4 linked regions of the Lepisosteus oculatus genome follow. The protein of the gene in region 1 purifies or fractionates together with the protein of each later gene. This does not show direct contact. Links are inferred from orthologs where the notes say so. Each region holds a gene or a part of one and is shown in the gene's direction. Other genes may lie near its edges.

What was found.
Region 2: the proteins of vapb (region 1) and acbd5a purify together in Homo sapiens (affinity purification with mass spectrometry; 4 studies listed by BioGRID and IntAct, counting the BioPlex papers as one, with this or other methods). This does not show direct contact. The link is inferred for Lepisosteus oculatus from reciprocal best matches to the Homo sapiens genes VAPB and ACBD5.
Region 3: the proteins of vapb (region 1) and vps13c purify together in Homo sapiens (co-immunoprecipitation; 3 studies listed by BioGRID and IntAct, counting the BioPlex papers as one, with this or other methods). This does not show direct contact. The link is inferred for Lepisosteus oculatus from reciprocal best matches to the Homo sapiens genes VAPB and VPS13C.
Region 4: the proteins of vapb (region 1) and vps13a purify together in Homo sapiens (affinity purification with mass spectrometry; 3 studies listed by BioGRID and IntAct, counting the BioPlex papers as one, with this or other methods). This does not show direct contact. The link is inferred for Lepisosteus oculatus from reciprocal best matches to the Homo sapiens genes VAPB and VPS13A.

What each region holds. Positions count from the first base shown.
Region 1 is NC_090711.1:1,779,141-1,786,334, forward strand, and holds the start of vapb (vesicle-associated membrane protein-associated protein B/C), read left to right. Parts: upstream 1-4,194; 5' UTR 4,195-4,307; coding exon 4,308-4,365; intron 4,366-7,194. UniProt on the Homo sapiens protein: Endoplasmic reticulum (ER)-anchored protein that mediates the formation of contact sites between the ER and endosomes via interaction with FFAT motif-containing proteins such as STARD3 or WDR44.
Region 2 is NC_090701.1:40,793,990-40,801,221, reverse strand, and holds the start of acbd5a (acyl-CoA-binding domain-containing protein 5A), read left to right. Parts: upstream 1-4,224; 5' UTR 4,225-4,256; coding exon 4,257-4,305; exon of another isoform or gene 4,306-4,494; intron 4,495-4,871; exon of another isoform or gene 4,872-4,963; intron 4,964-5,013; exon of another isoform or gene 5,014-5,032; intron 5,033-5,400; coding exon 5,401-5,487; intron 5,488-7,232. Other genes in the region: abi1a (abl interactor 1a), read right to left, coding at 3,916-4,032. UniProt on the Homo sapiens protein: Acyl-CoA binding protein which acts as the peroxisome receptor for pexophagy but is dispensable for aggrephagy and nonselective autophagy. Binds medium- and long-chain acyl-CoA esters.
Region 3 is NC_090700.1:57,745,221-57,752,952, forward strand, and holds the start of vps13c (intermembrane lipid transfer protein VPS13C), read left to right. Parts: upstream 1-4,732; 5' UTR 4,733-4,909; coding exon 4,910-5,009; intron 5,010-7,732. Other genes in the region: c2cd4a (C2 calcium-dependent domain-containing protein 4A), read left to right, coding at 1,531-2,871. UniProt on the Homo sapiens protein: Mediates the transfer of lipids between membranes at organelle contact sites. Necessary for proper mitochondrial function and maintenance of mitochondrial transmembrane potential.
Region 4 is NC_090698.1:59,497,101-59,504,550, forward strand, and holds the start of vps13a (intermembrane lipid transfer protein VPS13A), read left to right. Parts: upstream 1-4,440; 5' UTR 4,441-4,535; coding exon 4,536-4,635; intron 4,636-7,450. Other genes in the region: C2 calcium-dependent domain-containing protein 4C, read left to right, coding at 1-1,062. UniProt on the Homo sapiens protein: Mediates the transfer of lipids between membranes at organelle contact sites. Binds phospholipids. Required for the formation or stabilization of ER-mitochondria contact sites which enable transfer of lipids between the ER and mitochondria.

The sequences.
Region 1 (7,194 bases):
TTGAAGTTACGCCTGTGAGCTGGTTACTTTTTTTAAACCAGTGGCGTGTCTATCCCAGCTCTTCCTACAGCTCTTCCTGTAGTGTTCCCTGTATCCAAGTGCCGGAGCTCTTATCCCTAAGGAGATGCCTTTCGCTTTGTTGTTGTTGAGGTGGTTTTCATACCTAGGCCAATGGCTGTTTGATGAAGTTTAGCACTGAGCTATTGCACTGTTTTCTTGTGAAACAAGCTTTTGATTATTACAGATTAGGACATGCTAGAGAATATTAACGGAAAAAGCCCTGCATTTATAACCCTCCATATCTGTGAGAAGCTCTGCAGCAAAACTGGATTTTCATCTTTTCAGCAAAAAAAAAAACCCATTCAAAATAAGAAAATACAAGCGCAAGAGCCCTGTAACACAATGATCTTGTTTATGATGCTGTGTGGTGCTTCTTAATTGGTTTTGTAATCACTTAAATAGGATAAAAGAAATGTCTTCTGGGCATTTCTCAAGCAAGGTTAGTTTTAAGAGATGTTATTGTTGCTCTGCAGCAAGTGGGGACAGAGGACAGCTTTTACTTGGAAAGTGGAAATTAAAGAATTGATCCACAAAAACGCTCACATGTTTTTCAGTGGTGGAGTCATTCTTGCCTTAAATCATGCATCTTTGGTCAACAATGCAGTCTGGGAAAGTATGACCTCCATCTGACCTCCACCTTTCAGCTGAGCTGTTTGATCTTTTCTTCTGGCCTACTTTTGCTGAATGGCTTTTATTGTTGTTGTTGCTCTGTTAATGAGAGCAAAGGGAGAGTAATTGAATATCTATCGATTTTCAATATAATGCGTTTCCTTAGATGCCGAATGCTGTTTGAACGGGAAATGTTATCAATTGGATCTGACATAGTAATCAGGTTATTAATTTTAACACTAAAGCAACCCAAACCACCACTGTTTCCACCTGTATACATTTCTCACAGAAACTGAAACTGCATTGAAGCGCAGTAGCCATACCTCGTGTGGAGCTGATGTTAGACACTGCTTCAACTTCTTCTTTTTTGTCAATGCAATTTTATTTTATTTACAGGCAGAAACCAGAAAGGAGCTCATGTTTTGGCTCAGTGGTTCAGACAAGCATGTGTAGGCAGTATGACAGGCCCTTGTGCTCCTGAAGAGAAGTGTGTGCCTCCAGCCTCTACTGTCTTTTCAGGAAAGAAAACTACCCAGTAGAGTTTCAGATTGTTTAAATGTGTTTTTTATGTGACTTTTTTATTTGCATGTTGCACACAGATGGACCAACCCATTTTTTAAAGGGACTCTTTAGTGAAGCTGTAAGTCATTTTTAATGTCTGGACATAAGCCACCTATGCTTTTTGAGCGGCAGTCTGTGGCTTTTGGTTTCGCACTTTGTGATTTTGTGTAAAGCTTTATTTTAAAGTCGTGAGTGTGCAGTGATATCTTGCATTCATGCTTTGCCACCCTGTAGACCTTTGAGCGCCTCAGCAGTGCAGATTGTTCCTGATGAGGCAGTGTAGAGATGTGTTTTAATGAGCCATGGTGAAGATGAGAGGTCTCCAAAGGTAATGCAGTTGACTCCAAGCAGGATTCCAAGGAGTGCTGCTTTTTTTTATCAGCAGCACATTAGAGCCACATCTTTAAGACACTGGCTCAACAGCAGGACTTTGATCCAAACCCAGAGCAAGGTCTGATTTAAGTACAAACTAGTCCAGTGAGAGTCAGTCTTCCCTGTACGGTACATCAGCTTTCAGTCAAAAATGCTTCTCTGCTTAAATTATTTGTGGATTTCAGACTGGTTATTTATTCAGTCACACCAGGGCACGCACACTGAGGAGCGAAATATTATAATGATTTTAATTGCTCCATGAACAGTTATCTTCTTTCGGCTGAGCTTTCTGAAGTGCTACATTTTAAAAATTTAAAGGTGCAAGCAAGAGATTTAATATAGGTGTGGAAAAGAGACATTTTTTTTCAGCGGAATACAAATTTGGTGTTATAAATAGGCTTCATTTGTAGTGAAAATGTTACCACTTTAGTTAAAAGGTTTGTTAGTGATTCTGCCTGACTGCAGAAAGATGTCCCTTGATATTGCTGTGTTGGAAAGTGCTTTAAAGTCAAAGCCTTCTGTTTTTTAGATACTCGGTTCCTTATTTTTTGGTCCAGTTGTCTGTGAATCATCGCTTACTTTGTTGGTAAGGTGTAGCAAGTTTGCAGTAAAGCACTGCTGTCTAGTGTGTTCTGCTGGGGCTGTATGGGAATCGTTAAGCGTTGGGAAGGAGTGGAGAGCTCCTGCCTCAGTGATCACCAGCTTTTAGCCATCGGAACCAACCTGCTTTCAAAAGGCTTCCTTCCGCTACGGATCAAACCTTTCATCAGCGTGTTAAAACAGTGCAGTGTGTTGAGGAATGATAAAAGATGCACATCCGAGTCTTCATTCTTTTGGAATTTGAGCCTGGATGTGCCGTTTTCCGTGTTGCCTTTGGGAAGGGCAAGGCGGCTCTGCATCGGTGAACTGTTGTTCGAGCACTGTGGTACGACAGCGTGTGTGCTTCGCTCATGTTTGCAGTAGTGATGCTAACAGGTCTGGTGCCTTCATATCGTAGCTGCTGTAGAATATTTAACCGCTTGTATCAGGCGCAGTAACGCATTGGCTTAGCTTCTGTGCATGAAATGTGATGCTTTTGCTTTGCAATATGTAGTGTTTTTTGTGTGAAGGAGATTGTCAGTCATAAACATAAACAATGTTGAAGAAATCTCTTGAAGTTCCTTATCTCGGGCTGGTCCTGAGACAGTGTAGCAATTCCCTTATAATTATATAATGTTTTAATGTAGATACCATGCAAACGTATATATAAATACGTGAATACCCTAATACAGTTTTGGAAGGTGAGCTAAGTCATATCATTATTTACCATGAGTTGTTTGCAAAGGCACCACCCAAAAAATACTCCATCTATAATTTGTCATATTGAGCTTTAATATTTTCATATCGATTGTACAAATAAAAATGCTTGAAATCACTTTACTATGTATTTCTGAATGTGCAAAAGGGAAATGTCAAGCTGTTTACTAATAAAAACATTTATTAAAGAACACAACGTCTGGTCAGTGGCATCTGTTCCAATGCAAAAAAGTTTCAGATTGGATTTTTTTTCTTTTAGTACCCTCTGACCAGATGTCCATGCTTCCCACAAAGTCATCAGATCAAGTTTTTGTTGAAGCCTGTGAAAAGATTAAAATCCGGATTTGGTACAGATGTACAAAGAGATCTTTACCCAGCAAAACAATGACTGTCAATTACAAACCAGTGCGAACAATCAGTATACCCCACCCCTAATCAACCCACACATACACAGTTTTGATTTATACCTGTACAAAAACTTGATAAAATCACCATATGAGTCCAAATCCATCGTCGCATTAAAGTTTTTAAATCCCAATCCCAAGAGGTTAGAAGGTATGCAAGTAATTGATCTGAAAATGTCGATGTTTTATCCTAACTCTTCCACATGACGGCCAGGGGATCTTTCTGCGGAATGTTCCCCCGCTGGGGGAGCTGCGATTACTCGCTGGCAGCAGGAGGATAAAGTTACGGTGACATCAGTGAGATTGAGAGCCAGCAGCTTCCATCTCTATATATGTCGTACTGGAGGTATGTGCCTCCCCGCTCAACGCTGCCCTTTGAATTGTGCTGAGCAGGCCAGAGTCCTGCCGCCCTGACCTTCCACCCCTTCAGACTGGCACCACGCCCACCGGCGGAGCGACGCGGACCCTGCGCTACAGCACAGCTGAAACTGACCCCCGTACTTTTCTTTTGCATCGGTAAAACGTGTGCAACGGGAGCTCGTGGGGGAAAAACAAAACAAAAACAAAGGAACCCGAAACGGATCGAACCATCTCTGTACTCCCTCAAGATGGGTAAAACACTCCTGAAGCTCATGCAACTTAACACAGGAGCGGCTCAGGTGCGCTGTTAACACTGTTCTTAACCCTGAAGCTGTACAATGGGCCCCCGATGCAAAATATATATATTTTTTGGTCATTATTTTTTGAATCGGTTATTCAGTGCTGTAGCCTAGGTGGGGGAAGAGAGAGAGAGAGACACACCTTGCACCCGGGGCCAGTTGGAGCCCCCCCGCCGACTGGGTAATGCAGGGGCCGTGACGTCACCGGCAGCCTCTCTCTCACCTCCTTCCTGCTGCATCATCACTGCCGCTAGCAGCTCGAGCCGCGCTCCCCGCAACCGAGCGACCGTTCACCCCCCTCGCTCCCGGACCGACAGCCCGCCGAACCGCTCCGAACCGCCGGGACATGGCCAGGCAAGAGCAGGTCCTCCTTCTAGAGCCGCAGCACGAACTGAAATTCCGAGGTAAGGAGGAGGAGAGGCGGGCCCGAGCAGAGCCGCCCGCCCGCCCGTCTCCAGCCGACGGTGTGTGCGGTGGGCTCCTCTGAAGGCGGCGGCCATGTTGAGGAGATAAGGGGGGTGGGCGGCGCGCATAGCGGGCTGGTGTGGGCCCTTCGGTCGCCGGGGAAGACGCAGATGGAGCCGTGCCGCCGGGCAGCCTTTCGCCGGCGCGGAAGGCAGGGCTGTGCAGAGGCCCCCCGCGTTTCCTTCCCCGTCTCCCCTTCGGCGTACCCTGTTTGGTCCCGCGGCCTAGGCGTTAGGACACGGCAGGGAAGTCGTATCTGGCGCTGTGTGTGTATGTGTCCCCCCCCCCCTTTCGGAGAGGTTGACTAGGGTCATGACTCTGCCCTGAACCCCCCCAGCCCCCCACCGTCTTGCAGCGGGATCACAAGCGCCTCTGCTTCCTTGTCGCCCGGCGGCCCGTCTCCGGGGAAGCGGCCGTCTGTGCTGCAGCGCCGCCGGCTCGGCTCGGCTCTTGCACACGGTGTACAGGCCGCCTCACTCCAGCGCTTGATCTCGTTTGTGGGTTTGATTTCTTTCTTTTTGGGGGGGGGCGTTTGCGTTTTCTTGTTTTGCGACGGGCGGCCGGCCGGCCGGCCGGCTTGTGCGAAAAGGAGCGGTCATCTGTAGAGGCTAGGCCACAACAACCAGCCTTCTGAGCCTTACGTTATGAGGGATCAGCATGTCAGTCCAGCTCTGTGTGCATTTAGATGGGTGTTTAGCACGTACAACAGTCAAGCGTACTTGCAGAGATGCAGTCGTGCAGATGCTCCTGTGCAGAGATTGAAATGGTGACTGTCATATGTAAATAAACTTCTTCTTGGTGTAAGTTTCTCCCTCTTTTTAAAGCCAGCAATGTGCTGGTACAGCTTGTGGATCAGATCCTCACTCCTGGCTGGTGGGATTACAACCCACTCTGGACACTGGAGAGGAATTAGCGGTGTGGTTTTGCCCAGGGCAGTGAATAGGATGTCCCACACGTGCTCGGTGGTGACCAGCCCATACAGTGGCAGAGGCCAGGATGTCTTGGCGTGAGCTGGGTCAACAGCCCTGTCAGAACGCAAAGGGAGGTGGCTCGTGGACAGGCTGTGTCATCCCGGGGAGTCCTGAGTGACCGGGCCCATGTCGCAGCCTCTGGACAGTCCACTAGCTGGGAATGTCTGGTGGCCTCACTTGCACCCTGCACCCGCTGCGGATGTGATGGTATATAATTCCTTGAAGGTAAAAATGTGTTGCTGTACAGGTGTGCTCTTCCATATACAGACACACACCGTGTAAAAACCTGGATCTTCCCGGGGAAAAATAAAAACTTGGACCTCTAAATTCCATGGTAACATGCCGTCTTGCTGACCTCCCTTCTGCTCCTTCGGGCCATCCGATCATCGTGTGACATGAAAATAACAGCGCTTCCAAATGAGACCAGAACCAGTCGGGTCACCCAGCCATTTCTTGGAAGAGCCCGGGGTGTCATCTTTAATGGCACGCTTGGGTGGGTGGGCAGCTTGTTCTGCTCTCCCATCAGCCTCTGGGTCAAGAAGTGCCCCCTCAGTCGCTGCCTGCTTGCGTGTGTCAGACCGTGGGTATTTTATTTTGTCTGCGTGGCTTTGTAAGACTGTGTTTTAGAGTGTAGGCCTGCAGCATTTTATATGTGCATTAAGCTTCAGCCTCCAAAGCAAATAAACCTTTATCTTAATCCATTCAGATCTGCATTTATTTTTCTCACACCTGTGTGGCTCGGTGACGGTGAACATTTTTTTTTAGACGATTGAGTCCCTCTGGGACTCATCACAATTAATTGTAACACAACTGTAAAAAAATAAAATCAATTTTTTGTCCGACCTTCCTAGGTTTTTGGCAGAAGTTAGCGTTCGTGTCTGAATAAAGGAGGAATGCCGAATGTTGGTGTTGAAACCCGTTTATACTGCTCTGTTGCACTGCGCCCACTTTCTGATCTTGCCAGCACGGCTCTCTCTGCTCCCTGTTTTTAGTGCCCTTTGCCCTGTGGGGTGGCTACTGCTCTCACCCTTCGGCAGAGAATACTTTCAGGCCCTTCTGATCTGAAAATGGAAAGATAGTTTACCATCCAGCTCCTAAATCTTTTTTTTTCCCTCCATTCTGAGTCATTGATTTATCATCTGTGTCCTTCAGACAGGCTTCTTTTTGTGGTTTTCTTTTGTGCGACTGAAAACTTTTGGGGGGCTATTTTTCAAGGCTGTTGCCAAGCAGTTTCTTGTGGTTTTCTTCTTCTGTTGACATAGTGGAGATGAGAGCTCCTCCAGCGATTAGCCAGTCCAGGTCAGAGCATTTTTTCCTGAATGGAACTGCGCTGCTAATATTTGGCACAGGCCCTGCATTGGTGAACTCTCTCCCGAGAGAGCTCCATAGAATTTCCTCCAGAGAGCCACTTGAAAGATCTGCCTTGTTTTCAAGGACAGCTTTTATCGGAAATATTTTGCAGACAATTAAATGTAATTAGGTGGGAATCTAGAAAAATGTCTTTGGTGCTTCCAGTGGTTCAGGGTGTTCCAAGGAGTTTTTAAGTAATAAAGTTAAGCTGTGCAAATACAAGAAAAGCCCTTTGATGCTAGTGTGGCATTTCGGGGTACGCAGTCTCACTCACACTTCTTAACACCACTCACTGCCATCCAGGTGAGTTCCTGCCTTTGGCCCTGTCCATCATTTCACTAATTCAGGTGCACAAGAGCCAAAGAAACAGTCAGAAGCTTTCCTGTTTCTTTTCCTTTCTTGTAAATGTGTGGTTCTTGGTATGAATCTTGCAGTACTGCTTTTAAC
Region 2 (7,232 bases), on another chromosome or scaffold:
ATCTCTCCTCCAGACACACTTATGGCACTACACACAGAAGATTAGCGACGAACACCAAGTATTGAAACATGTAAAGACAACAATTGAATCTGCATTGAGAAAATGTCAGACTTTGCTTCTCTTGGAGAATGGTGAAGGGGTCAGACTCCTTATAACCTGCCTGATCTTCCACGAAAACACTTTCTCGGGTCTGTCCTTGATATGATTTTTGTTTAGGTAGTTTGACTACATCCCACACACACACACACTAAAGAGCATTGGTCAAGCACGCCGAAAATCACAAACGGCTGAACGAAATTCTCCCGGCTCAGCAGAGAGAACATTTTTGCTCTCGTGCCAACATCATCGCTAGACAGGTTGGTTATCTAGACAGAAAGCGCTGCCATAAAATTCACTGTGGCAGAAATAGGATGTTCATCAACAATCTCCCTATAGAGTAAAAAAAAAAAAAAACTCTCGTCTGCCAGGCTCAAGGAAACAGCAATGACCGGTCTCACGCCTGGTGAGATTCTCAAGCATTCAAGTGGGACAATCGCTGTCCTCGTTACTGACTACGTGGACCAGCTCCCTCCATCTGTTGCGGCTTGTCTGGTTATGCGGCCGCGAAACCATTTGTCTTCGATACCTCAGAGGAGGGAAAATATGCTCAGTAAGGTTCTGCAAGCAGCAGCATGTCTGCTTGCGGAGCGCAGCAGGCCTGCCCCGGGCTGGTCACAGTTTCGAGTGAGAGGAGCTCACAGGCATGGCCGGCAGTGCAGATCACCAAGCAGCAGATCAGCTCCGGGCAGAGGGCCTGCAAACTTCTGAGCTGTTCCGAAACCAGCGCTCGGCCTCGAGGGGGGGTGGGGGAGGAGGAGAAGTCGCACAACTGGCTGAGCGATGATCACCTTGCTGCCTTTCAGCCGTCCGCTACATTAAGGCTCTTTCGGGTTCGACAGCCTCCCGCTACTTCAAAAGAAACATTTCTACCGCTTTAAAAAAAAAGGCAGCGCATCTCAAGCTTCACCGCAGGTTCGGGCTTGGCTGAAAAAATAAAGCCTTTTTTTTTTAAAGAGAGAAAAATCTGCATTGCTAGTACAGATGATCTAGAGATCACACTCGGCAGTACGTATCAGTGGGTGGGAAACACGGTGAGCCACTTGCTCAGCGAGGACTGTTCACTTAGGCAGTTCTCGACAGAACACAGCCACGCCTTGGACTTGTGGTTAAGAGTTCAGAAACACTACCTCGAAAACCCCACAAACAGCTACACCAATTAGTCACATCTACGGAGTTTTCACAAACAAAAACAGCATGCCTGCCAAACGGTGCGTTATTAAGCCTCCAAAACCTTCTCATTGCATTTCCTTACTAATTCTGCCCATCTAGGTATTCGGCTGTATGTGGCAACACTTGCCTTTCCTCGCTAAAACAAAACAGTCGAAAATCTTGGACTGTCTTGTCTGTAATCTCGCGGGCACAAAGGGCCTATTGATGGCAGAGGCAAAGTTGGAATGTCAATAGAACAGATCAGGTGTCTTGCGTTTTAAACTGCACAGGAAAACCCTTGACCATTATCAATCCTTTCATTTGGAGAACATGCGCGTGCTTCCCTGACAGACGCTGGATAAAGATGTCGCTGCATCGCTCGTCACCTTAGTTCAAAGAAGCAAATTTTCATTTAAATGGGCCCACAAAGGAGAAAAGGAAAAGTCTGGTGCTGAACAAATTAATCCCAAATCCATTCAAGAGTTAGTCAATAGCAGGAAGTCAAATATTTCTCTGAAGTGGCCTTTGGCCTTGTGACAGACACACCTTAAAGGCTTGTAAGCTATCAAACCCACAAAACACTTTTGCAGTTCATGCGATCAAACATCCTGGCCATATCCATAATGACATCTATCTATTGTACTGCCCCGACTATGAAAGAGTGTTTAACCACAAACCTAACCTACTTCTGTTTTTTATTTTCCTCAAAATGGTATTTTAAGAACCTGCATTTAAGGCTAGGCTGCCAGCTGACTATAATCCACTGACCAGAAGCCTTGAAAATCAGACCAGAAAAAAATGGAGCCAAAATCAGACACTAAATGAGGGTTTCAGTTACTTTAAGAAAATCTCTCCCCCAGACACTTTTCACACTGCACACAGACGACTAACAACAAACAGCTAATGTGAAGTAGTAACACAGTGTGTTAAAGGGCAACACGGGCTTTGCTTAAAACTAAAGGCTTTATTTAACGTATTCATATTTTCTCAATAAAATAGCTGGGAGGTAGTCTATCAAAATCAGTCATTAAAAGGCAAAGTGAGATGTTTCCATCATAAAACGTATAGAATCACTCAAAACACTGGGCTCACAGTGCAAAATCTAATATTCTGCGGGTATAGTGCATAAAGGGGACCAATGAGTTGTTCAATTTCGTAAGTACTCCTGTAATCACTGAAGAATACATTTTGACGTGCACCTGTGAAATCTGTTTTGAATAAGTTCATACTATACCCCTTGCAAGCTTTAAGCAGTCATACAGTATCGACATACATTACCTAAGATCAGGGTTGCTTTAAATATTTCGAGGTGAACGTGTTTAGACAACTATCAGCACGCAAGAAATAAACCTTCAACTGTTTGATGAAGCTACAGAAAGGAAAGCACGTCCAGCAAGCGGCCAGATTCAACCATTTCAAGAATGCAGGACAAGCAGCTGCCGTCCGCCAGCCACGTCCTGGAAACACAAGTTTCCCCAGCAGTGACGGAGCACGGCTACTTCCAGGTTACATGTTGACACTGGCACATATGAAGGCATGTTCTCCCGCAACTGATGGCGAACTATATCGGCAGTTTACTCTTCAAGACGATGAAAACCGGAGCACCTCAAACACCCAACGGCAAAACGCGTGCTAACTAACACCTTACATTTCGTTTCCCCCCCAATGATAACACTATTGAACCAAGACATCTCGCCAGAGATGCCAAACCACAATTTGGGCGTAGGAATACACAAGACGTCAATCTTCAGTTTTTGAAGTCCGATTTCGTCGCATACTGTATACGCCTGTGTGGCGGTCACGCCGTTAGTCTTCACGTTGAAAAATAAATTGGCAAATTTCAGCTACTAGGAAGCGGCGGCGCCGTGGTGTTAAAAACGATTGGGCAAGAGTCGGCAAATAAGGTGCAATTTAGGAGGAGATTACCAGCATTACCTAATGTACCTGGCAGCGTGGGGTGCGTTTACATCACATTAATGCACTAAAGGTATTAAACCAGAAGATCGGCTGTACACAGCAGCCTATTGAACAGTAAACAGTCACGCTAATCAGAAAAGAGCGGTTCTCTTTTCCATACATAACTACGGATAGCTGGACAAAAAAAAACATCTTACACTTCACGTCTCAAGTTTGTGTGCATTACTTACTGGATAAATGCGGGCTACTAGTGCAGAAAAGAATCGAAAACGGAAGACCGCGTGAGCCCCTCCATTCCCTCAAATAAAAGTTTCTCAAACGAGATCCAAAACGTTACACGTATTTAAACTCTACATGCGTTTCCCCGTCGGCGAATGAGCCATTCCTGGATTTAAATCAAGAGCCTCCAGTCGAAATATAACAAGATAAGGAAAAGACACACCCTCCGGACTAGCGAACCAGACTGATCGCGAAACGGTGGAAATGAATGGGAACAAGATCTGCCGTTTCCCTGCCGATAAGGGACGAGCCGCTGTCGGTAAAAACGCAGACAACTTTAAAGACGGGCCACATCGGGGGGGTATTTTCGAAAAGATTTTGAAACCCCGTTTTAATCCCTTCGAGTTTCGCTGCAACATTCACATTTCCTGTCTCCGGCTCCCCACACTTCCACGGGGAAAGAAAAAAAAGCCGAGGCATCCACTTCGCATCTCGGAATTACATCGCTTTCTTTTTTTTTCCCTTTCTTACCTGAACATAATTGTTTTCACAGTAATCAGCGACCCTGGTGAGGTTCTGGTAGCTCTCCACCAGAGCTCTTTTGCCGGCTGGAATTTCTTCCTCTAACAACATCTGCAGCTCTGCCATCTTACATCTCTCTGCATTTCTTCTTCTCCTTCCCTTTGATCGAACCCACAAGCTCTGCCCCAGAAAGCTGCTCCTCCGCCTGGTATTGTGGGATTCCTGGCCTCGCTTTCGCCACCGCGACCTTTCACCAGCCGGGCTCGCGCACACGAGCACCGCCGCAGCAGGGAGACGCAGGAACCCGCAGAGGTGCACGCTGGGACCTGTAGTCTTGAAGCGAAACCTCGATGATGACACTGTCGCTATCAAGTGTGGGAAAAGACACATTTCGCGCGTGTATGTATACGTTGAGAGAGACTGGAAAGCCATTGCTGATATAGACGGTTAACTTTTACGCTTTGCGTAGATGACAGAAGATATTCTCTCTTTTCCGCCACCCCTGCTTTAACGTGATAATTGTCTTTAACTATTTGAACTGTTCTTCCTATCCGCTGAACGTCGGTGAAAAAGATGTGACTCGTATATGTATGTATGCTATACGTAATCTAAGAGTGTATTCTTAGAACTAAGCTTGATTTTAATTATTTTGATACATTCATCAGGCATTTAAAATGATGGATATTTTATGCTTGTCTAAATATCGTGAAAAAATATACATTGTTCTTTAGACGCATGTAAGAAAATTAATACATTTCCAGAAATCTTAAATCCTGTCACACGCAATTCTGTAAAAATATTATGCATAGATTGAGACTTGATACTTTATTAAGGCTGTTAATTTATTAAAATATCCTCTATATTACTACAATTCCCACAAAACACTATATTTAATACTGCATTGTGGTTTTTGTAGTCAATTTGACTGAACTCTGTTTTCTGGTACACTCGCCCGTGGCCTTAAAAAACTACAAATCCCCTGGACGTAGCGCTAATGTCAGATTTGTGTTGGTTCCTATTTAGAGACGTATTTGAGAAGTCAACGTATTTACAGTAGGTACATCATGTTTATCTAGTATTTTAACTATTTAATATACAAGGGTATGACAGGTATACGAATTTTGAGGTGTGGACGTAGCTAAGTCTGTGCAAATTTGTTCTTTGTAATTTTGAACTCTTGTAACAATTTAGCCCTATGTCACGAGAGGAATGACCTGTTCGGCAAATACTGTTTACGTCTGTGTGCCGAGTGATTAATATTTAATTCTCCTTTTTAAAAGCTCAATGAAACTTTGAAATGTTGAGTTGATCAGTGCAGTAACTAACCATGTAATTATTCAATTTAGTTATAAAACCGTTTAACAAATACGTCGTTCTTTTCTGAAGACTGTCGGTACTCAAAAGTACACTTTAATCTTATATGCAGCTGGTGAGCTGCTCCAGTTCATATTTGTAATCCCCAGGTTTAAAGATTTGTCGCTGACTCTTTTGCAGCCTCTGTCATAATGGCGGATGAAAAACCAATCCACGAGCAACGATTTGATGCTGCAGTGAAAGTAATTCAGAGTTTACCGCAAAATGGTAAGTGCTTCGATTTCTGCTTTATTACACGAGACTACCTGCAAATTACTTCTGGATAATAGCACCTTGATCCAGCAGGACTTCGTGTTAGTTTTTGTTGGTAGCCGTGTGTCTGCGGAAATGAAAATCTATCTTTCATTTAAGGCATTATAGATGAAGTAAACTGAAGTTTACTGTAAACAAGTAGTAACGGGTCCTTTGTTTGGGTGCTGAAATTACAATAGGTTACTGTGTTGACCCATTCCTGTCTTGTAAGCATTTCATTTGAAAGGCAGTGGATGCAGCTACCTGTTCAGAGGAACTTTCTACTCAAATTGGATCTTTCTCCCAAATATTATATTGCAGTGCCCCTGTCTTTGCTGCTCGATAACATTGTCTTGGCTTTAGCTGGGGTTCCATGCAGTAAACGTGGTAATTTGGTGGATACAGTTTTATATATATCTATTCAATTTCGTTTTAATGAACTGGAACACCATGTGTTTCATCCCATCGGTAGAAGACGATTGGTTATCTTTTCAAAGATTGTTTTAGCAATATAATCAACAACATTATCACATTTCACCACTCGTGATGCTGATTTGAGTAACAAAATCGCGAGAGCCCCTGGCCTATCCCTGTGCGAGAGTGTTCAATGCCAGGGCCTCTTCAGAAAATAACTATTATCTTTCCTGCAAGTTAGACAAAAGTCCACAAAAGCTAGTAAAAGCTCTAAAACATTACAATAATATATTCTTAGACCTCTTACACAAAGCTTTGGAAGTTAATTAAAATTATGAAGGATAAGTCAATTTAGGTACTGCCAAAATACTGTTATGACAACGAAAAACACATTTAATTCAGTCACTGAACATCTCATTTATACTGATATGGTTGCGTGTTTTCTAGGTCAATTTTTAACAACAAGGCTGATTTGGTTGAATCTGTTGTGGTCAAGTTCCAGAGTCCCTTCATTTTTATTATGCAGCAAGTTACTGAGTCAATACAAACTGAACTTGGAAGACTGACAGTGATAAGACCTCTGATCACAAGGGTATTGAACCAGTTCTGATCAAATTAGACACTCATTTAATATCTACTCTGCTGTTTCATTTATTCCAACTCCTTGTAATCCTAACAGACTCAGAATAGTCCCTTGTTCTGTCTCTGTTTTGAAGAGGCTGTTAAATCAGACTCTTGACTGCTGTAGATCTGTATTCACTTTTCCCTGCCTTTCTAAGAACATGTGAAAAATTGCTCGCAAACAGTTCAGCTCTTTTTAGACAGTTTTCTTTTAGCAGATACACAGCCTGTTTTCTTTCAGGGTGTGATTGCCATCTTAAAGGTTCTCAAGGATATTATAATCACGTTGGATCAAAATCACATTTCTGCAGCCTTCTCGATTGTTTTATCTACAGCGTTTGATATGGTGAATCACTGTATACTTCCAAAAAGTTGCATTTAGGATTCATGTTGTTTATAAAATCTCTCATATGATGTTGCTATTACTTACACAACTACAGAGTGAATATACTACTTCTGTTAATAATAAGATAGTTTGTTGCACACCCTTTAAAAGTCCATCGGGTTTCAATCACTGGTCCATACGGTCTTCTTCATGTGTGTTAGCAGTATTGCTCAGTCAAAAGATAAGTCTCTTATCTACTTATATGTGATGACCATCTTACACTTCACAGGATGCACTTTATCTTTAATGACTAATCTTCAGTTTTGTTTACACAGAATTCAGTAGGCTTTCTATAAACTTG
Region 3 (7,732 bases), on another chromosome or scaffold:
ATTGATTAAAATAAGTTATGGAGTCAACTACTGAAGAATAATTTAGAGAAAAGTCATTTTAACTGCATACTGTACATTAAGGATTGTTTTGCATGATCATTAATAGAAATGAACTGATTTATAAATGCAAAACAGTTGCACATTTCATACATTATACAGTATATATTTTTGTAGATATTCAAAGTGACTTGCAGGCAGTAATTTGTCCTTACAGTGCATAACACAGTAGAATGTTACATAAATGCTAATTTCTACATAAATAGTAGAAGTTTTTTGGTAATTTTACACTTCATGGTTTTTACTTCAAACAAAAACACATGCATAGATGCACACAAAAGCAGGCAAGTACTTTAAAAATTTGATGTTTTTTAAATGACAGTTCAGGCTACTCGATCAACAGAATATATTACTGTGGATACTCATTAAAAGTCTTCACCTGCTGGTACATGTGCAGGCCTTTGACAGTACTGTCATGCAGCTCACAACATGAGAGAGTTATGACTGAGCCAGCAACATTAAACATACTGTATAGGATTTTGACTACTTGGATGACATGCCCTGATCCAAGAATTCAAAATCCTGAAAGACCTTTACAAAGTTATTCTAGCCACGTTGTTGAAGGCAGAACTCGGGATTCTAGGAAGCAAAGACTGGATGAGATCCTCTGATGAATGAACTACTGTATCAAAAGAGCTAGATGAACCAGATAGTCACCCCATGTTTGTAACCTTACTTACAGTACATATACCTCCAGTACCTGTTAGTTCTTATAAACCTGCTGCTGGAGGAATTAATACATCACTTACATTTTGACCCAGATAATCTCACTCCGGTGTGCACATTCACGAAAATGGAAAAACAAATAAGCGAATTAAATGTTCTCATTGTATCGAAAAACTTTTTGATTATTCTGTTACGAGCAGTTTACCTTCTCCATCGCTTATCTGTTTAACCTTTTTTTTTCATGAGGCATGCTCATGCCCGTGAAGAGTACTGTTGTGGTTTCACCATTTCCATGACTACAGTCTACTAGGAAAAGGGGGAGGGTCCTTCCAGAGCGTGCTCCTTCCTTCCACATGGGAGGTGCGCTTGAATGGGATTGGAGCCGCTCCAGACATCACAGCCCTATTTATACAGCCCGCAGCGCTCAGCACACCAGAAACCTGAGCAAGCCTGAAGTGGGGGAAGACCTGCAGCTGAGAAGCTCTCTGACAACACTGGACCATTTATGGTAATTCTTCAGCAAACCCGTCTTTAAAGACGCATTGCTGAATTTCTGAAATCTCTGAAGGTAAGCTTAAGACTTGGTTTTTGCTCATAAAGTTATGTTTATACATAAACCGATTCATTGTTTAATGTTATCATAGATTTTTGTAATAATGTGAATTCTTTTTTTACACATCAGCAAGACAGCTGTATAATTTCATATATGACACACGTCAGAATGCCAGCTATATATCAGCACTTATGCTCACAAGTTGTCTTCTGCTTTTACAGATTTGTGCGCTTCTTCTCTCTGATCTTTTGCCCATGTGGGTGATGGACAAAATCCGCGTGTCTGTGGAAAGAACAAGCCTGTCTCTCCCCATAACGGAATACAGTTTCAAAATCGGAGACATCATGTTTGGAGGAGATAAGATGTCGTCTGCGAAAAACAAAAAGATCTCCCTGTGCCCTAATATCATCACCCCCGACAGAATCCCCGAGTTCTGCATACCGCCGAAATTCCCCTCCCAGCAGGACCTCAAGACTGCTGAACTGAACAAACCCACTCCCAGCCTTAAGATTTCCTCTTCGGAAAAGGGCAGTCCTGGAAACGTTCCCCAGCACCGAGAACTGGTCAACACTCATGTGATCCAGGTGGAAAGTGTGGACGAGATGCCCTTTGACTATGGATACAGTGACGAAGAGAGCACCAATGCTGATCCACAGTCCCAAGCTGCACTGTCCTTGCCCCATCTTGCAAAAGCCCAGACCTCCTATGGGTTTTGCACCTTGCTTGAAAGCCCACACACCAGGAGAAAAGAGTCTTTGTTCCACAACGATCCCGGCTCCTGTGGGATCCCAGTGGTACTTCCCAGAGGCAGGTCCAGCACGTACTCAAAAATCTCCTCGTCCACCTTCAGCCTGAACGCCATAACTTCCAGGCTCTCCCCCAGAAGTTTCAGCTTGAACAGGCAGGGCACATTGGACAGTGACACTGCTTCATCCACAGAGTCCTCCCCTTTCAGCTCTCCCATGTTAAACAGGTCTCCCCCTAAATCCTCTCTGTTCAAGGCACTGAGCCAGGAGAAGCTGCTGTCCAGGACTGTGAAGAAATCAACAGTGTGCAGGAACAATTCTTTGTCAACAGACGAGGGGAGTTCAACAGACAACAGCCCAAATATCTTGAGAAGAGCATCTGAGGGCTTGATAGACCCCATGCCCTGTCCCTATGGCTTGACCCCCCCTGCAATTTTCCCAATGGACCTAGTGTACTACAGGGATAGATTCATGAAAGAAAGCCTCATACCCCTGGGGAAAAATGGGACCCTAAGACTTTCTGCTGAGTATAGCCCAGAGAATCAGAGGCTCCGTGTGCGCTTGATCAGTGCAGAAGGACTGTATGCCTTGTCCGTGGATCCCAAAAGCATCAACTGCAGTGTCAGCATCTCTCTTCTGCCGGGAAAAATCCAGAAGCAGCGCAGCACTGTGATCCGGAAAAGCCGGAACCCTATTTTCAACGAGGACTTTTTCTTTGATGGAATTTCTGAAGAAGAGCTGTCTTACAGGTCTCTCAGGTTTAAAGTTGTTAACAAAATGTCAAGTATGAAAAGAGATTATGTTTTGGGAGACTGTGAGCTCCCTCTGAGCAGCATTTCACCTGCATAATGATTCTACAGGACACCTTTTTTACTATTTATATGTATATACAGCAAAAAGTGTTATTTATTTATACTTTTATACTTTGCTAAATGCTGGTTTGATATTAAATGGCAATTTTGAAAAACATGCTCAGGTGTTGGGTGGTTCTTTTTTCCTCATACCGATACAGAACAGCTACTGTATTAGAAACAAAGTAACAAAATACTTTCACGATAAATGTCTGTATTCATCTTTATGTCCTTGTCCTTTAAACAGTTTGTGAGCCACATACAGTAAACCTACAAATAGAAAAATACAGTCTAAACAAGGCTATTGTGTATTATACCTGACTACAGCACAAGTTGATCCTTGTCAAAGAAAACATCAGCACCCTCAGAGATCCAGGTCTCCTTTATTGCAGGCAAGCTTGATTCATATATTCATTTACTAATTGTAAAAACAAATCTATTTCTTTCTTCTGTAAAGAGCAAGTCATTTAGGGGGTTCCTTCTTAAAGAAGTACTGAAACTGCTTTAGTTTCATTCAAGTAACAGCTGTAAATCCTACAGGTATAATTCCAGATATACATATCCCAGTGCTTTCAAAAGCTCTTTAACAAATTAAAAAGGTTATGTAGAATAGTAAACAAAATAGGTAAATGTGATGTATTTTTATTGTGATGTGAGGAATACACTTACTGTGTTCAGAATTTTGAATCTTTATATATGAATAGTAATATTCCTAATTCTTGTATTCCAGTTTTAGTTGAATACTAATTTAAATCTGATACATTTTGAAAGTGATTTGATATGAATCATTAGGCACTCTTCTACTAGTACTGTACGAGCATTTTAACATCAGGATCAGAAAGAGATTATCAAGAGTCGCCTTTACAATCTGTAAACAATGAGATGGAAAATCGGGAGATCGTAGTGTAGAAGTTCCCACTGGAACAACGTAAACGTGTTACCTGTAGGTGTGTTGGAATTCCGTCTAAATAAAATAAAAGTTCTATCCACAAATTATTTTAACTAAAATAAATAGTATTCATAGTAAAAATATTAGCATTCAGCAGAAGCAAAAATTACACTAATGATGTTAAAAATCCAGTGTCCGAACTGAACAGGAACTACAGGAGGGTGCACTTTTATAAAACACGTTCCAGTTTTCGGTATGGAAGTGATCATGTCTTTGAAACAGTATACCAAGAAACAGCTCTGCAAGCCTTCAGCGGTTTTAAAAGAGCCGTAAACACGTTGAACAACTGAAAGGTGTGCATGAATATTCAGTCAGCTACAGTGAGAACTGTCTTCAGGTGTACTGTATATATTAATTTACACGGCTATGCCTTCTCAACAAACTACTAACAAACTTTAGTAGTTTCGACGAGTAACATAAAGTGCACACATTTAAAGATTGTAAGAAGTAAGCAGGAAATCAAGCGTATAGGATGTTATATTTTCCTCTTCTTAAACTGATATTCTTTCCAAGGTTACATATTTACAGAACATAAAGTATCACAGCATAACACTTGAATTGAATATACGAAACAACCACATCTGATAAAAGATTAATTTTAGATAAGTGCCAGCTCTTTCGCTGTTAATTGCTTAAATATATATTATTACATCATATATTAAAATATTTCTAAGTCATTAATTACTTCTCATTTACCTGGGTTCACACTAAGATATCTTATTGCAGTGACTATAAGCGCCATAAATGTATTAGCTTAAAACTCTTAATCGTTTTCATTTAACTTGTCAAACCTTTGCAAACAGCTCGATGACAGTCGGTTCAAAGGTCAGGGTGACCACTGCACCCGCAGGCTGAATTACCGTAATACCGCTGCGGTCACACTGATTGACTGCATCCGCAGACGGTGTCCGCCGCCAGTATACTGTACAGCTCAGGCAAAACCAGTTGATTACAGAAAATCCTACCCTTTCGGTTTAGCACTTGTACTACAAAAGGGATGAGCCAGGCATCACGGGATTGTGCTGCTCACACTGCATCGAGACAGCTGCTTCTTTAAGACGGAGGCAGGGTGCACCGCTGTTTAACCATGGTGTTTGAGTCTCTGGTCAGCGATTTATTAAACAGGTTTATAGGCGACTATGTGGAAAATCTTGACAAGTCTCAGCTGAAGATTGGCATTTGGGGAGGTAGGATTCTGCGTGCATGTTAACGTTTTCACTGCTTTGTAGCTATTGCTATTAAGACGGAATCAGGAAAGTAACTCTCATGGTTCAGGGCCAAAACATGTCAGTCTCGACAGTTGTAGCCAACTGAGCGAACAAGAGTGTATTACAAAACACATCACATGACGAGCGAAAATGCCTAAGTCTTAAGTTTGCAGTATGTTGATTTATTCAACGCAGTACAGATGTGTTGATTGTCGCATTTGAGGTGTACAGTATACGGTTACCCAGCTGTGTACACGTCCATAATTAATGTTTACACTGCTGTGTGTGGGAGGGGGGGTGCTGTACACAGTGTACGAGCCCAGCAAGGTTTGTGTTTTTCAGTGTCTTGATGAATGCTAACGTCGCCTCTCAATCAGAATCAACGCCTCTGAAGGAGTCTTTAGCATGTGAGAGATAAGCCACAAGTGAGATTTGATAATACTCTTCTCTACTTGTTTATAAATAATGCTAAATGAGAAACTGAAATATCCTGGGCGGTCTGCGTTTTTTGGCATCCAAATATTAAGAAACCTCTTATTTCTAATTAAAATATAATTCATTTTACTTCATTTTATGGTGTATAACTTGGGTGGAGTGGTGGCACTGTGGCTAAGAGGCTGTGCCTGTGGCTGGAAGCTTGCCAGTTCAAATCCTGTGGCCAGCAGAGGAATCCTGAGCAAGGCCCTTAACCCTAACTGCTCCAGGGCAAGTGATCTTGTCTTGACTTATTTTTGAAGAGTGGAATTGTCCACAGTTCTTTTGGAGCCGACAGCATTTTCTTTTTTGCTCTCACTTATGTGACAAAACCAGTTTGAGATGAAGACAAAGCTTCTAATGAATTATTTTTGTGCAGAAAACGTAATGATAGATGATGTCAATATGATATGTGTTTGAGAGTTTAATCCTGCAAATAGGATTTAATAGCAGCCAATATAACCAGGTGGATAACTGGGCAGTATTTCTAGACTTAGTTTTTCTGCTTTTTCCTAAAGAAGTTTGGATATATCGATGTACTTAATGTACAGTATATAAAAGATGGCAAAAGGCAAAATTTTAAGACCATTCATACGATGTTGTAGTGTCTGAAATATCTATCAAGACAGTATTTTGTGACATTGTCCATAAAATATTTGTCATCTGTTATTCTTTGTCTAATACAATAGAATGGCATTCAGTTGAATAATATATGTTTGGGGATGGACTCTAGTGTTGCATTTGTTTCTCAAGGCTTTAGAAAGGCCTGAGTAGAGTAGTTTCATGGGAGGAGCTTAATTCTTGGAAGCCAAGCACGTGTTTCTAAAATTGCCTTTTGCCATGTTCTGCCACAATAAAAAGGTGCCCAAAATTGTGACCCGTTTCCCTGTGAGACAGTAACTCCGTTTCAAGCACATTAATGTGCAGAGACACACCTGACATTGCTGATGTTCATGGGTGTTTCAGTGTCATGGATAATGACGTATAACTAGACAGTGGTAAAACAATCATTATTCTTCTTTTCCTTCACATGGATTGTATTATACAGATATTCTTTAAACATTTTCAGGTCCGGTCATGGAGGCCAGTTTTAAAATGTTGGTTGCTAGCTATTTCTCCTCAGTTATTAACCTCCTACAAGAATCCCATTGAAACAGTCATTTTGTTGGCAAAAATGTTAACTTCAGGTACTGAGTATCTTCATTCTTCTTTCTCCACTTCAGTAATGAAATGACTCAGTCAACCACAGTATAACAGTATACTGTTTTCTTTATTCTACTACTGAATTCTTGTACTTTTAATTAACTCCTACAGTAGTGAAAATGAATGTTGCACAGTGGAGCTTTTAGAGGAAGAACGTCTACAGTGTATTGCATAAATCCCTAGATAAACTAGACTGGTTTGTCTTGTTATGCTGTACATTGACAGAGCTACAGTACAGTACATTAAGAGTAAGAATGTTGTCTAGTATGTCATTGACTTTTCTTAGGGAAGATGTGTTTCATTCCCTTTTCTGATTCTGTAAATTGGTTTAAATTATTGAAGACAATTCTGTAAAACAAGAAAGAAGAAAGAAAAATCTACCACAAATTCACCCAGGTCTCCACTGGTCATGTCTTTTGAAACAGCTCTTACCTCATCATTATTTGTGTTGCTTTCACAATCTGTGCATGGTTGAAATCGGGTCTAAATCATTAACTTGGGTTCTGCCCACCCATTATCTTCTAATTGCTAATGCCACAGTTTTGTTTTGGTCTAAAAAGTTAAACAAAATATCCCTATTAGTGTTGCTTAAAGTAAAGCACTTGGTGAACTCAGAGAAGTCTTGTCTTTTGCTTTTATTAAGCTTGTTATATTCTCTACCTTCACAGTGATTAGCAATAACCATGGACACCAGAAACCTGTGTGGACAATTTTCTTTACAAATTAACATGATTCTAACCTTGTCATTGTCTAATAGTGATTGCCCACAGATTAAAATGTCCTCATTAATTAAGCAACTATTAACTTGTTAGTTAATATTTATTCCTCTAGTACAAGGTTTTATTCATCTGTGCACAATGAAGATGCAACAGTCTTTAAAGGTTTATTTCAGAAGTTGATTGGACACATGCATAATGTTATTGTCATTTTTAAATAGCGTGCAGAAAGGTTTTGTGATTGTATGATTAGCTTCATCCCTTGGGATAACAAAATACCAGTCTCAATGTTTGATTTCTGAGTTAATA
Region 4 (7,450 bases), on another chromosome or scaffold:
AAGCCAGAAAGTTACTGCAAAAATAATGAAGGCAAGGACCTTGTGAAGCTGGCTAATCAGCTTTTTATACAGATAGAGAAAGCAGACGACTGCACTCTGGACAATATGGAGAACACCAACAAAAGCAAACAAAGAGACCTAATTTCTTCTTTTCCATCAGTGCTGTTACCTCACACAGCAGCATGTTTCAGTCTGACAGGCTTATATGAAAGTCCTAACACACGCAGAAAAGAGTCCTTGTTTCACACAGACTTTGCAAGCTACGCCTTACAGAGGAAACAACACATAGCCAACAAAAAGTTTGCGGCTCCAAGATCAAGCAGCCACACAAGCTCTACAAATATTACACACTCACTCAAGAAGCAGGGGACAACAGAAAATAACACCCCTTCCTCCAATGAATCCTCGCCCCACAGCACCCCCGTGCTACCTCGATCATTTTCAGGCACCTGTCTCTTCAAACTGTTTGGGCAAGAGAGTTTTCTCAAGGATATTTCCAGATCCAGTTCGAAGCAGTCTCTGGGAGGGAACAGCTCCTTTTCTACTGATGAATGTAGCTCTGGTGATACAAGTCCATGTACCTCAGAAAAGTCTGAATCAGAAGGAAAATCAGAAGCTCCAGGTTGTTCCCTTTCCCCTCCAGTGCTGTTTCCCCTTGACCTGTTACACTGCCAAGAAAAGCTACGGAGAGAGCATATCATTCCTCTTCAGGGAAGGGGCTGCATCCGGCTGTCATTAGAGTATGATTCTAGTAGCGCCACAGTCCGAGTCCGCGTGGTTTCAGTGGAGAACCTGTATGATTGCAGCTTTGAGGCAAAACACATTAACTGCTGTGTCATTGTCTGTCTCGTCCCAGGCAAACAGCAAAAGCAGCACAGCACCATAATCAAAAACAGCAAAAACCCCATTTTCAACGAGGACTTCTTTTTTGATGGGGTTACAGAAGAAGATCTCCAAAGTATGTCCTTGAAATTTAAGGTCATTAACAAAGCCTTCAGCCTCAAGCGGGACACACTTCTGGGTGTTATCTCAAAGCCTCTTTCCCAGTTATTGCCTTTATGAAAACAAAATGTGCAGATATTCAATACAACGTGTCCAGCATTCATGAAAAAGAAGGACACGTGACTCCTTTTAATTCATATGTAACAGTTCTGAGGATGTTTTATTTTCTTAGTATTTTAAAGTATGTGTGAAGGCTTTTGATTCATCTACACGCTATTTCAGAGTATTTATGCTTTTGGAATCTTCCTTATTGAGTATTTATTATGTTCTAAAGCTCCTTAACATAACATTTCCTTCCCCAGGGATGTATTGAATGTGAATCTGTTCTTTATGTACAGTATGTTATATTCATTTAGGAACTGACATACAGATTAGGTGGGTACACCTGATACTAAAAAATTGAGTATACCCTTTGATAAAATACAAGGGACTGATTTACACACCAGAGGTGAATATAAATATATTTTACTGAATTATATTTATTATCCCCACAAATGTTTGAATTTTACTCATCATCATTAAATAAAATGGAATAAACCAGAATTCATTTTCTGAAACTAGCAACTACAACTTTTCTGTGTCATTGATCCCTTAGATGCTGGCTTAACACATGCAAGTTCTTGTTTTCAAAACACCATTTGTTGAAAAGATGACAATAACTTCTCACAGAATTATTCTTTAGTGTTTTGTGATTCTGGACAAGATTTTTTTCTCGAGTTGTCATTTGGTAGAAACAGCTTTTAAAGCACAAACAAGCATGTTAATACTGTATTAATCTTCACTCTTGGATTCTTATACAGCTGCTTTTTTGAGTCGTACTTAAAAACAGCCTCAGCTTCACTACTGCCACTTGAGATAGTTTTTGTTAAAACAAGTAATAGACTGGACTTTACCAAGGAACTGAACGTATGATGAGCACTGCTTCGAGCTAAGTAAGCCACTAGCTCAATTATGTTATTTTTCTTCAATTGTCTTTCAGGCAGAGTTCCTTACTATTTTCAGACTTAATTATATTGCTTCTTTGCAGACTACTTGCTCATTGCTGTCTAAAGTAAACTGCTCATCAAGAGCCAGTTGTGCTTAACAATGTGTTTCTGACTACATAAAAAATGAAGAAAAAATCGTATAAATACAGTATATACTGAGAGGTATTAGAAATGCAATAAATGCTACTGGCTCAAATACTTATTTGAGCATTTTTAAGATAGTTTTTTACCACCTTTTCACATGTAAAAGTGTTAAGAATTCTGTCTGCCTCAATATACTTTTTCTTTTTTTTTCTGGTAACATGGTTGTACGGCCCAGTTATGTTTCCCTTATGTATAAATGTGTCGTGCTGTGTGTGATTTTGTACATTTAGCAAGCAGACACTTGTGTGCAAAACCTTCTGTGAATCTGACTTCAATTATATTGTAGAGGAGAATAAAATCATATTTACAGATATTTTCTGTTGTGTGCTACTTTTGCAGACAATGGATAACTGGCATTGGTTATCAATGAGTTCTATAAGCAAATTAAATTAATATAGTATCCTTGAAAAATAAACAAATGACTTGAAAATCTTATTTGGGAAAATCTGAAAACATTTCAGGAGAGCGGACTGTGAAAGAATAAAACAGAAATTAAGAGAATGAGAATGGAGTAGGATAAGCATGAAATTTGTAGAGAACAGATTATTAAAAATTAAAGATACTTTGCTAGATCCACAGAACAAATTGATCCTGAGAGTAACCTTATCAAAGGCTAGAAAGCTTTAAAAATCACTTTAATAAATTAATTCAGACAAATCAGCAGAAAGATTGCAGTTAAGAAAATTATATAAAAAGAATTAGGGCCAATTAGGGAAAAGGAGTATAATAGATTACAAGCATGGGTAAAAATGGATCATCTAAAGCCAAAGAAAAAATGTTGCAATGGTGTAATATATTTGTGTTGGAGTAAAATACAAATTATATTGAGGCTTGACAAAACTAAACCCGGTAGACCATCTTACTTCTAATGCTGTATCAGTGTTACTTCATGTAGCAGTACGGAAACAATAAAGAGAAGCAAACATTGCGTGGCCTCAAGAATCTAGACGAAAGTCAATAAAGAAAGGTGGGTCCTTGACAAATAACTTATAGCTCCAGTCCATTTGAAAACCAACATTATATTCTTTATCTCTGCGAGTCTAAAATATCTGAGTCCTTTCTGAGAACTATCACATTTTCTTAATTAAAAACCATTTTGATAACTTGCTGCCCACACAATGAGAGCACTTTGAACACTATACATTTCTTTGTTCCTCTGGTACAGAGCTTTGCAAGGGTCCATGTAATTATTTGTCATTTACACTCTGATGCAACCACCTTTCAAAGCTCTTATATATTGTACTACCACATTATTATTGCCTGTTCTGTTTATTTAGCATGTGCACTGGATGCACTGGATGTTACCTGACCTAAAGCTTTTAATTTTGCCTCTGTTTTGCAAATGTATTTGAACAAAGAAAGATGCTGATAAAATTCTTATGATCATTTACAACCTTGAAACATAGTATATGAAAACAAGATAGTAGAAAATAGTGCTGTTGTGGAAGGAGAATGTACCGGTATTTTTGCTTATTGAGGTTAATACAAAAAGAGCATGTAGTCATATTAGACATTTGTCATGAGGTTAAGTGTTTTGCACAAAGATACCCACTTACCTTAAGGTCAGGGTTTTAAAACAGACGGCTGGCATTTGGGTGCAAGTAGTGAATTCCCAGGATGGCACAGATACCTGCAGAGGGGTTTCATGGAAACTGTTGACTGGAGGAGTTGTGACTGCCGAGATATAAGGACTATCCCGCCGCACTTCAGTTCTCTGGTTTTAAATGTAACACAGTTCTCCAACTTGCCTTTTAATTGAATTGAATATCTCTCAGCTGGTGCTTTGTTGTGATGGCAATGTAGTGACAGTAGGATCCAGACCCGGGGTGCTATCTGCAGGGTTTCCTCCTACAGGCCCTGGTGTGAATGTGTCCGTCTCAGAATTATTCTGAACAAAAAAAAACATTAAAAGCAGTTAAAATAAATTAAATAAAAACCGTGTTTGACTCATTGGATAGCACCGTTATGTTTATATTTATATGCCCTAATTTCTCCCAGTAAAGCAATCGTTTTGCTGCAATATCTTCATTATCCTAAACACACTATCCTGATGGGTACAGAGCGTTATAACCAGACATGTGTGTTTCGTTACTAAACATCGTATTAAATATTTAATGATTTATTGTAGTCTTTTAAAGACTGTGAACATTTTAATTTTCTTCATGCGACGTTTAGGCTAATTTCCCAAATTCAAGGCGTTTGGATCTTCCAAGTCCACCAGCAGTGTCAACTTCGTTAATCCGTGAACGCGCGTGCCATGTGGGACGCGCGTGCCCAATTCAATGCTCAGTGCCGACTTCGCGCATAAGACCTCCTCTCTAGTTCCGGTGTGGTTATTTCAGGAAATCTAGATAGTTTCGAGGTTGGCTGACAACATGGTTTCTGTGGAGTGAAGACAGCAACATGGTGTTCGAGTCTGTGGTGGTTGACGTGCTGAACAGGTTTCTCGGCGACTACGTGGTGAATCTGGACAGCTCGCAGCTCAAACTAGGGATATGGGGAGGTAAAACTACATGATATGTAATCGTCTGTGTCCTCAGCGTTTCCAGAGACATAGCTGCTTGCCAGCTGTCATTATCACTGCCGCCGATCGCAGTACAGTGTATAGCCTAACGAGTTGGCCACTTGTATTACTAAGTTTGTTTCACTCTGCATGTGCCCATTGTTCCCGTATTTTAACTGTTAATTTCAGACGATCACAGTGTGAAATATCTTCCATAGATCCTTTTAAATCGGTATGCATTCTTGCCGTCATCATCACTAGTTAACATTGGGCACGCCTGTTTACGGCAGACCGTATTATAATGATAGCAGTGTCTACAAAATACATCTACTGTAGCCTTTCCAGCTCTTTACTATTTAAATGAAGGTTCACAGGATACATTTTGTTAGTGGAGGTGAAAATAAAATCAGAGTCCGAGCGTCTTGTCTTGTAATGCGAAGATGTGTTTGAGATCACGACTTTGAAGCGGCGTTTTCCTCACCCGGCCCGGGGAGTTAAGGTCACTGGAAATTAATTGCTCTGGTGGCCCGGGTGTTGAGCGAGGTATAGTACTGTAACGTGCACGGGAGGAAAAGACGCCAAGTCACCGTCCGAGCCTTTGGCTTCTGTTTTTTATTAAGGTTAACATGTTACTTTACACTTCCCTCGCCTATTTCGTCAGTGAATGGTTAGGCTAGTTAGGTTTGCATTCCTGGCTGGTGTTCTTCGACTGTCCATCCTAAATATATCGGGGATATACTGGGAGTGGGTCATTCTGCATGCTATAACCGCACCCTTACAGTGCGGTATCCTCCTGTGTTACTTAAGCTACTTCACATTGTGAAACTGACTGTACATAATCCCTGTTTTTACGGATAACAGCCACAGAGTAACTGACGTTATTGTATGCCCATCGCTACATTCTGTATGTAGTTCCAGCCTTATAGTAGTGGTAGTAGTCGGAGTGATGTTAAACTTGATCTTTTTAAGATTACTATGTGTGTTATTATAACAATGGTCTTAGCAGTTGTGCTATTAATTACTTTGTCTGTGGTTAAACATTGCACACTCTCTTTAAAATAGACGTGTGAAACAATATGTGCATTTGGAAAAATGTCCTTGATCTGTGAACGCAAAGATGCGTGCCTTCACATGTTTTGTTGGCATTGAGGGACGTTCTTTGTTTAGAGAAAAGGTGAAATATCAGGTAGAGAGTTTTTGAAGATTTGTCTTGGTGTAATGAAAGAAAAAACTTGTCCTGTTTAATATCCTATATTAAACAATTATCCTGTTGTTATGTAGTAAACAGGCTTGAGAAATGGACACACCACAGAGGCCGTTTGTGTGGCATTATCCGCAGCTGTAGGAAACGTAAATTGAGAGAGATGGATAGATTTTTACCAAGATAAGTAAAACAGAAAGTGTGCGAACATTATCAACATGAGTACTGCACATCCACTTCCCTGTGTCCTGTATGAACCAGAATGGAGAAACAACAGCACTGTTCCTGTTTAATTGGTATTCTTCTTATAGGTTGATTTTTTTTATGACAGTTAAGATGTTTGGTGTATTATGCTGTGCTGGAAAGCTGTTATAAAAGAGAGTGATTAGTCAACTTTTTGTATTAACTGTTAACTTGTTATTTAATGTCTTAATATTTGCCTCCCAGCTGGTCCATATAGGATAGACTCTTGTTTTAAGTTGTGCTGCTTGTTTTAATACATGGTGCTTTGTGAACATGTCACAGTGCTTGCATTGTTGAATAATTAACAAGCTGTTTTTATGTAGAAACCTTTACAATTTAATGTTGCTGCTCTAAACAGCTAACTGCGTTCTGTAGGCAGACCGTGCTCAAGTATACCTACAAGGAGACTCTGAAATCCTATCAGGCTGCATTAAAGAGGCCTAAAGCCAAGAGATTTCAATGGAATCAGCTTGGCGGTGTGCATTTATAGCACACCAGTTTCAAGTACATTAATTGATTCATCTAGCACAGGGCTAAGAAACCATGCTGGTGCATTAAATCTACCCTACTGTGAAATGCTGATGTTATTTAGATGAAGTATTTTATAACAGGACAGCTTCAGTCAGTTTTCTTAAGTGGTTCCTTCTGCTTTGGAGAAGAATTAACCAATACAAATTCAAATTAGCAAAATATTTGCTGAATACACTGTGGTGTGAATTACTATTTGTGGGTACTGTGTCTGATAACCCCAGTTGTTTACTCTGGTATATAATTCAAAAAGTGCGAAATGGAGTCTGTACATCTCGCTTTTGAACAGAATTGATCTTTCATTGTGAGTAGGCTCTATGAAACAGTTAGACGGTATTTCATTGCAAATGCATAAGTACTGTACCTTTCATAAATGGTAATACTCCAAGAGATCTACAGCAGAAAATTGTTTTTCTTAGTTTTTTAAACCTGTAATTTTAACATATGTATAGCTAAAATTATTTTCCTTTTAGTGACCACATTTTGCCAGCTGGTTAAGTGTTTATACAGTACATACTGTATGGACATATTTTGTATAGCAGTTAAATAATGTTTGTATTTTCACTGATTTTTAACAGGGCAAAGTGTTGTGCTGCACTGAATTAACACTGTTGTTTGTTAAGCTTTTACGTATTATTTTAAACTACATGAACAATTATCATTTTAAGAAATCTGCCATCATGCCTTGCAGAATTAAAGCATTTGCAACAGAGCCTAACGTGTACAGCTACCCTCTTTATTTAGAATTACAGCTCTCCAGGTTCCTGTGCCTGTTCTCCCCGAGTCCATCTCGGGCTGTGAAGCAGGGGGATATTCAGTACTGTGCAGTGGGTTTGGTGCTTT